Tribolium castaneum: one gene and its partners. The protein of the gene in region 2 interacts with the protein of the main gene of each other region in a pairwise test. Links are inferred from orthologs where the notes say so. Each region holds a gene or a part of one and is shown on either strand. Other genes may lie near its edges. The genes, in order: Pfdn2, prefoldin subunit 3 and Pfdn5.

Region 1 (2,839 bases), about 1.7 Mb from region 2:
GGCCATTTTGAACGCCAACGACACCAACTGGCCTTTACATTCGGCCCCGCAAGCTAACAATTTCGCGCTGTCTGCGAGTCCCAGCCGCGAGGACAGCGCAGGGAAGAACCCCAGTTTTGGCAATACGACCATGGCTAAGGGGCTCAAGAAGGCAACTATTGAAAGGATGTACGTTAGCACCGTCCCCATGTATCTTTGGCAGACGAAGGAGAGCCCGGTGTCAGGTTCACCGGGCCAGTTACTGACGTCTTCGGTCGACTGGGACTGCTCGGACGTGTTCCCGGTGATGGCAGTGGTGTTCTCGCCCCAGTTGTCGTCCTGGGGCAGGATTTGCACCTCGATGACCTCCTGGCCGTCGCGGTTGTCGGGGGTGAGGGTCACGGCCGTCTGGAAGGGCGCCATCTCGTCGTTTTTGCGAGACTTGGAGCTTCTGTAAAAAAATTACTTTCAAGATGGTCCAGAATTGTTTGGGCACGAACCTGGTGCTTCTGTGGGAGTGCTGTCGGTAGTTGTTGCGGTCGCGGTGCCCCCGTGAACGTCTCGATCGTGAACTGTTTTCCGATTTTATGGATTCAGTCTCCATATCTCGTCCAGTTTCGTTGCCCATGTATTTTCCCAAAAGCCGGATTTTTTTTGCAAGAAACTGTCATGAGTGGTTCTTTATCAACACTTTTGCGGGAATTCTCGTCAAAAATCCTGATTATTTCACTAATAAGTTCAATGACTCCTCACGTTGATGACATTTCGTAAACATGTATTTGTGCATAAAAAATCCAAACAATTTCCGTTATTTGGAGCCTTAGGCCACTTCCGGGGTTCGTTTCGCTCAGGAGGAATGCATTTTCTTGGGATTTGTTTCGTAAGAGTTGCGTAAATCGTTTACAAATTGCATTTAAATTAGTGCGGCGGCTTGTGTGCGTTTTTCTAATAAAACTGGATCATTTTTCTCAAACGGCACTTGGAACACGCACCGTTTTTTCCCCACACACGTAACCAATTCCCTCCGACACTCCACACATGCTTTTTTATTCAAATTTATTCAAAATTTACTGAAAACTAAATCGGAGTTTATAAAATGTAAACGCCTACGTTTAGGAGCAATTTAATTGCCCCATAAATTATGGCTGCAACATGGCTACCGTGTAAACCAAAAATGACTAAAAACACTAAATAGAGCAATTCCTTCCAATGAATTTCAGTCAAAGAAACCGAGACGAGGAAAAAAATAGACGTAGTCTAGACCCGGGAAGATAAATTTCAATTGAAAAAAAATCCACATTGTCTGGTTATCGCAAAATTGGCAAAAACGCGCTTGGTTTTTTCTTTCCGCCAGGTTTACATCATGTGGCTGCGTCACGTGACCATGACAAAGTGACATTTCTCAAATTCCGGATTTATGTTTACCAAAAATGGCAAGTGATTCGAAAAAGAAATCGTCCAAAGGGCTCACGCCCGAGGAGATCCTGAACGGCTTTCAAGCGCTAAGGGCCGAGCAGCGCACCCTTTCATCAAAACTGACGGAATTCGAAGCCGATTCCAACGAACACAAGTAAGTTTCCGGCCCGGTTGTGGCCCCAAACGTGGGGCTGTGGCGGCGAAACCCACGGCAAATTACTCAAAATTGAGTAAATTTTCATTTTTGAAATGAAATTTTTTTCGTGGTTGCCGGTTTTTTTGTAAAATGTTACATAACCTCGCTTTTACAGAATGGTCATCGCCACTTTACAAAACGTGAACGAAGACCGGCGTTGCTTCCGACTAGTCGGGGGGGTTTTAACTGAGCGAAAAGTGAAGGACGTTCTTCCGGCACTTGTTGCGAATTTGGAGAAACTCAAAGAACTTATTGAAAAGTTGAAAGAACAAATCACGAAGAAAGGTGTGGAGATTAATGAATACAGGGAAAAGTATAACATTAGCTTTAGAGGGTTGGATAATCCGGCCCCGAAACAGGAGGAGCAAGTGGCGGCTTCAGAGAGTAGAGGAAATGTTTTAGTGTCTTAAATATGCATGTGCTTTTTTTATTTACACCTAAGCTAGGATTTTTCTTTTGTAGAATATTTATTTTATGTATTTCATTCGAATTTGGTCGGCATTTAACAAATTCATCTTTTTCTATGAGAGCTGTGCTGGTTTTTTGCAAGGTAATGTAACATATTTCATCCGAATAAAAATTTAATTTGTAAGTGGTTTTTTATTAATTTACCCCCATTACCCAATGACGAATTACGTAAGCACCAATAAATTATAATCTCAATTGCATATTCAACAAAAAAAAACAATTAAATTTCTTTCGTTTTTTGTGGCTGTATTATTGGTTGCCTAACCATGACTTTAAATTATTTCTCTAAAAAATTCAAATGAAAGCCTTAATAAGTTTTAATAAATTAAAGCACTTAATATTCACCACATTAAAAAAAACTGGTTTAATTATATAATTAAATTACAATATAAGTATTATCTAAGATAAAAAAAAGATAGATAGTAAATAATAAACCAATCATTTATTAAATCCTATTTGCTCTAGATATCAGTAGTCAGTATGTGAAGTGACTCAGTTTAGAAAAAACATCATGATAAGTTAACTGATAAAAGATTTTCCTCTTGTTCTAGTGAGACAATGTTTAAGTTTAGTTTCCTTCTTGTTTTTTCTTTATTATTTTACCACAACGAGGCCTTAAACCAGCTATGTTCCGTAAGAAAAGCAGAGAAAAACTGTATCTGTAAACGCATCACCGACAGCGAAGATTTAATTGCCACAGAAGCCGACTGCGTAAGAACAAATTTCGACTATTTCCCGACCTCAGAGCAGCTACCTAAAGACCTCAACCTGCTCGACTTA
Region 2 (2,840 bases):
AGTGACTATTGCACAATGTTTTGCCAGGAGTTTGATTTTTTTATTTAGGTACATTCGGGACCGCTTGGCCATGCAAGCAGGGATCGAGACCTTCGCTCAAATGAAAACGAAGATAGATGAGTACCAGGCCCGCGTTGAGGCTCTCAACCAAGAGTTGGAGGAGCTGAGGATCAGTATGGAGCCTCCAGCTCCGGCTGACGAGGAAGGCGCTCCCTTGGAGGAAGGTTTTGAGCCAACTGGGGGCGACGAGAACCCGCCGGAGGAGGCAGCGGCCGCGGCGGCGCCCTCTGAAGAGGCCCCAGCTGAACAGCCTCCAGAAAACGCCGACCAGTGATGCTCCTCTTTGCCATATTATACATTGTTTTTTATTTTTAGAATTTTATTTTTGTTCCTTTTATGAATTAATTTTTAGTTTGTTTTAGAATTGTGAAATTTTAAGACTTTAGTCGGTCTTCACATTGTACTTAACTCAACCTGTAAATTAATTCAGGTGATGCCTTAACTACCATTTTTGAGAAGCACTTTTATGTTCGTATATTGAATATTATGTGGACTGTTATTTGCAGTATTATTTTTTCATTTATAAAATTTTATGCACTTGGCAAAAGAAGTTTGAAGAAACAGTCTGTGTTTATTAGCAATTAAAGTTATTTCCTTATTAGAAATAGTTTTATTCACAGAAACGGGTTAAATAAAAGCTAAGTTATTAAATGCTCAAGCTGGAAGTAACATGTGATTTACATGCACTGTAAAAGTGCGAGCGCGAAAATATATTTTGCAAAACTGGACGATATAAAGCAGCAGTGACAGATCTTGTAACAAAATTAAAACAGTGCTAAATGGTCACTTGGAGCCTCATTTTGCCGCTGCTTTCGCAGCTTGGCGTCTCTTCACGTCCCAGTTGAACACTCTCGCCATATTGACCTCGGTTGTCGTAAACTGATCCCTGAAAATTGACTCAGCCTAAAGTAAACCCCAACAAAGCGTTACCTCAAAAAGTCGAGATCGTGTTCCACATATTTTAAATTCTTAGTAGCTGCAGCAATATTCTGCGTGAGCAGCTCCTGAGCATCTTTTAAACTATATTCAAGCATGACATTGGCCCCCAGCCACAGGAACACCGTCTCAGTTGGTGGCACTTTAGCTTTGGCGAAAACCTGTTCGCTGAGCAAAAACTGAGTCTCGAATTCGTTTTTCTGTTCGCCTAGTTTCTCAATCATCGTTAACGAACGCTTCAGCTCGGGGACTTGGTTCTGGAGCCGTTTTTTCTTCGACAATAAATTATATTCCATAAACTTATACTTGGCATGTTGGTTATCTAATTTTTTCAACACTTCTTCCACGTTTTTGTTGTTTTCGGGCCGCGCCATGTACGCATCCACATCTTCCTGAGACAGGAAAAATCATAAGGTCGGGATTGAGGTTACGTTTTTTCGAAAAACATGTGGACGGGGTTTCGACACTTACGACAAATTCGGCTTCGGGGATTCCAGCGTAGGACTTTTTGTCTCCCAGTTCTGTGTTATTTTCCGATTCTGACTGTTCCATTCTAGTTTTTGCAAAATTTACCCACTCCACCGACTAAACAATTGAAAGTTTGGTGGTTTTTATTTTATCAATTCGTTGCGTTGGTAGCCACCACTCTATTATGTGGGGTTAGGAAATTTAATAATTTTTTGAAAAATGAGTTAAAAACTTAAAAATGGACTTGATTTTTGGCTTAATGACAATAGCGGCGATTTACTTATGGGTTCTCTTCATGGACAGGTTTTTTAAAGTAAGTCGGAACACGTTTAGTGCCCTTAAAAACCACAATTTTAGTCATGTTCTCATTACGGATACATCCAATTTCTTAAAGGAACGGGCCTGGAGATCAAATTGTTCCAGTTTTCGTGGACCACGACAGCCTTTAATAAATTGCTGCTTAAGTGGGGCAGTCACAACACGAAATTTCTTAATTTGTGGTTTAATTTGGGGCTATGTGTGAGTTTAGTTTTGCTGCCTGCTTCGATCTACCTATTGTTAGTGGCTTTCTTCCAAAACTTTTTGTCTTCGGCAAGTGGCGAGGAAAGCATAATTCAGCCGGTAGTCCCGGGAATAAACCTTCCAGCATCCGAAATGGGTTACTACAGTTTAACTTTGCTAATCAGTTCGGTTTTGCACGAGCTAGGCCATGCGTTAGGGGCTGTGCAAGAAGACGTAAATGTGATCAATGTGGGCGCCAACGTAATTTTTATTTTGCCAGTGGCTTACGTTAACTTAAATTCCGACAAATTATTTTCTCTAAATCCTTGGAAAAGACTCAAGATTTTGTGCGCCGGAGTTTGGCACAACTTGCTAATTGCACTCGTAGCTTACTTACTCTACACTTCTCTACCGTCCGTTTTTTCACCGTTTTTCAACTTTGGTAAAGGAGTTGTGGTAACGGAATTTGAGGCAAAATCGCCAATTTTCGGAAATAGGGGTTTAAATGTTGGCGATTTAATTTTGAAAATTAATGATTGTGAGGTGGACGATGAAAATGCGTGGTACAAATGTTTAGTGGCTTTACGCACAAAAAAGCCCGCGTTTTGTATTGAGGGCGACGTTGTGCGCGATCTGGATGAGAGCGTTCATTTGAAACACTCCGAAAGTGGGATTGTAAGCTGCTGCCATTCAGAGAATAAAGGCAAATTGTGTTTTGAGTACTTGGATAGTAAAGACAGCATTTTGGAGCTGCCCCCTTACGCCTGTTTGCCTGGAAGACCTGCGATCGAAGCCTCGACAAATTTCTGCATATCTGACCCCCATGTTTGCCCCAAAGATACTTATTGTTTCAGACCGATTTTAACGAATAACAC
Region 3 (2,673 bases), on a different chromosome or scaffold from region 2:
TTATTGGATTTGCACCTGACACTTAAAAAATTCGGTAGCTTTTTTAGTTTGAGAAATTTCGAAATTATCTTTGAAGAATTAAAAGAGAAAGCCTATAAAATCTGTTTTCTAATGTGTTCAAAATTGGAAAAGAAGTGTAAAAAACCCAAAATTTTAAAGTTAAGTTTGTACAACTTCAAGTACCCATAACTTATATTAATATCCTAATTTTTATTTTACTAGATGGAGGAGAATATTTTTCTTTATCGATCTATATTAGCATTTCCTATAACCATCTATTATAAATACAGGCTAATCCAGAAATACTGAGACTGTTGGCAACATTGAATTTAAATTTTATAGAATACCATTGGAGTACGCTTCCAGTTAACAACAATTCAACAATCTTGTGGTATTGTATGTTAAATAATTGTCAAAAGTAATCGAATTCGGTTGCAGTCTTGCAAATTACGAGCCATTGTTGCCAACAAACTCAGTTTTTGTGGATCAGTGTGTAATATTCTCAGTGATAGTCCAAAACTAGCTGTATATTTGGTTGCCTATCCGGCAACAAATTTTGACCAAAATTGATTAATACAAAATGTAGACAATTCCCGAATAAGTCAGGAACATAAAATCAAATAAAGTGGAGGTTAATTTATCTTTTTATTATTAGGTAAACATTTAAACACAGTTATAAATAAATCATGTACAAAATTAAACTCAATTCTGTTGCTGTTGCAGCTTTAATTCCACAATTTCCACAATAGCATCTCTAATTTTGCTTTTTTCCAACCCCAAAATTTGAATTTTCTCCATCTGTTCTGTCACAAACTGAATTTTCCGCTTAAAGTAATCTTTAGCAGCATCAATATCCTAAAAAATTCAATCATTAACACACAATTTCAACATCAACATTGCTGCACCTTTTCTGCATAATATCTGGTTCCGATATCGATCAACACATTGTTGGTCTCGTGCAACTTTCCAGGCACGTACATCTTAAAAAAAAACTTTCATTAAAGTTCGTAAATATTACTCAAATTACCGATCCTGTTAACGGCACTAAAATCTCTTTTCCATCCGAATCGGGGCCAACTTTCTCCAGAGACTCTCCGGAGTTTTGAAATTTCGTCTGTGCCATTTTGAGGGACGCAAGAGATTCTTGAAAGAGCGACAATTCCTGGAAAAAGAGCAGTTTTTAGAATCATGTGCAAGGTTTGAGGTTAGGGCACATACCTGGTCTAACTGTTGCTTTAACGTTGATAACTGCTGGATATTTAGCGTCATCAGATCCACTTGCTTCATATTAGGCTGTTCTGTGGACGAAATTTGAGCCATTTTTCTAATAAATTAATAACTAATAAATGGACAAACAAGGTAGTGTCAAATAGCAATGGAGTAGAGACAAATTGCACTGTTTGAATGAACTACTCGTCGAAAGACAATGCTGTGTCTTTCATACAAGCACTGCTTTGCATTATTTTTTTAAAATTGTTTCCAGTTAAATAAATCTGTATACGTTTCGTATTTATTGGTACATATTAAAAAAATTAACAGCAAGTAGTTCCAATTTAGATACATTTAGTAGATAAATTGCATCTATTGGACTTTCTTGATTGGTGATTTTGTAATAACGTTTTTTGAACTTGATGTTTGTACACTTCAGTCAGTTTTATGATTTAATTGTGTTTTTAATAAGTTGAGAAGTCTTTTGAACAATGTACCGACGGTCAAACAGCAGCTCCCAACTTCCAGTCCCCAATAGGTCACGCTCAAAGTCTTCTGTCAGCAGGTAAAATAATGTAAACTTGTAGTACCTAATTTAGGTCCTGGTTTATTAAAAAAGTAAAAAATTACCAAAAGTACCCTTCTCCTAAATTCCTTCTTCAAGAAATTCAAATGAAATTATTGGCTCTAATTTGTTTTAAAGAGTTAGTGCAAAAGATGACAATGCAAAAAGGTTCAGGGCGAATTCCATGGACCGAACCTTAAATCCGCCCTTGAAAAGATCAACAAGTTCGTCAAATTTGAGAAGACCTTCGGTTACTCCATCAGTTAGGTTTTGTTTTGTTTCGAGAACTTTATCACTCTAATGCTGATTGTAGGTTTCTTATAAAAAATCAACGGTCATTACTCCGACTCTGGTAAAACAGTAAATACAATTGACATAACGTTAAACACCTATTTATTTCAGAATTCTGGGTTAAAACGATCAAATTCTGTAAGTGTTTTAAGTACGGATATCTAAAGATTAGGATACGAAACGATGTACATACAAATAAAACGTTCCCGTTTTTAATGGTTCCGCTAATGTCGCCAGAGGGCGCAGTTAAAAAAGTTTTCTCTCTTAATACGCAACAGAATTTCAAATACAGACTGATCCAGAAAAACTGAGTCTATTGGCAACACATTTGAAAGTATTTGTGCTCGTAATTTGTAACATTGCAACCGAATTCGATTTTTCTTGACAATTATTTGACGTCCAACTCCACAAGAATGTTAAATTCTTGTTAACTTGAAGCGTACTTCATTGGTATCCTTAAAAATTTAAGTCCAGTGTTGCCAACAGACTCAGTATTTCTGGATCAGTCTGTATTATGTGTACATCATATTAAAGGTTTTTTAATTCTACAGGCTAATGCGTTGAAAAAGTAAACTCCTTTAAGAAAAGGTTTAATTTATTTTTGAGAT

Evidence for each region.
Region 1: the proteins of prefoldin subunit 3 (region 2) and Pfdn2 interact in binary tests that used the Drosophila melanogaster proteins (3 or more experiments, as listed by UniProt). The link is inferred for Tribolium castaneum from reciprocal best matches to the Drosophila melanogaster genes mgr and Pfdn2.
Region 3: the proteins of prefoldin subunit 3 (region 2) and Pfdn5 interact in binary tests that used the Drosophila melanogaster proteins (3 or more experiments, as listed by UniProt). The link is inferred for Tribolium castaneum from reciprocal best matches to the Drosophila melanogaster genes mgr and Pfdn5.

The regions. Positions count from the first base shown.
Region 1 is NC_087397.1:2,599,222-2,602,060, forward strand, and holds Pfdn2 (prefoldin subunit 2), read left to right. Parts: upstream 1-1,332; 5' UTR 1,333-1,409; coding exon 1,410-1,549; intron 1,550-1,706; coding exon 1,707-2,001; 3' UTR 2,002-2,183; downstream 2,184-2,839. Other genes in the region: Vang (van-gogh), read right to left, coding at 1-430, 480-583; chondroadherin, read left to right, coding at 2,618-2,839. UniProt on the Drosophila melanogaster protein: Binds specifically to cytosolic chaperonin (c-CPN) and transfers target proteins to it. Binds to nascent polypeptide chain and promotes folding in an environment in which there are many competing pathways for nonnative proteins.
Region 2 is NC_087397.1:4,273,385-4,276,224, forward strand, and holds prefoldin subunit 3, read right to left. Parts: upstream 1,609-2,840; 5' UTR 1,549-1,608; coding exon 1,468-1,548; intron 1,389-1,467; coding exon 991-1,388; intron 947-990; coding exon 856-946; 3' UTR 648-855; downstream 1-647. Other genes in the region: c-Myc-binding protein homolog, read left to right, coding at 1-1, 49-334; S2P (membrane-bound transcription factor site-2 protease), read left to right, coding at 1,703-1,777, 1,822-2,840. UniProt on the Drosophila melanogaster protein: Binds specifically to cytosolic chaperonin (c-CPN) and transfers target proteins to it. Binds to nascent polypeptide chain and promotes folding in an environment in which there are many competing pathways for nonnative proteins.
Region 3 is NC_087400.1:9,621,963-9,624,635, reverse strand, and holds Pfdn5 (prefoldin subunit 5), read right to left. Parts: upstream 1,400-2,673; 5' UTR 1,321-1,399; coding exon 1,219-1,320; intron 1,163-1,218; coding exon 1,028-1,162; intron 981-1,027; coding exon 906-980; intron 856-905; coding exon 703-855; 3' UTR 627-702; downstream 1-626. Other genes in the region: uncharacterized protein LOC103314387, read left to right, coding at 1,701-1,774, 1,913-2,036, 2,088-2,126, 2,177-2,203. UniProt on the Drosophila melanogaster protein: Binds specifically to cytosolic chaperonin (c-CPN) and transfers target proteins to it. Binds to nascent polypeptide chain and promotes folding in an environment in which there are many competing pathways for nonnative proteins.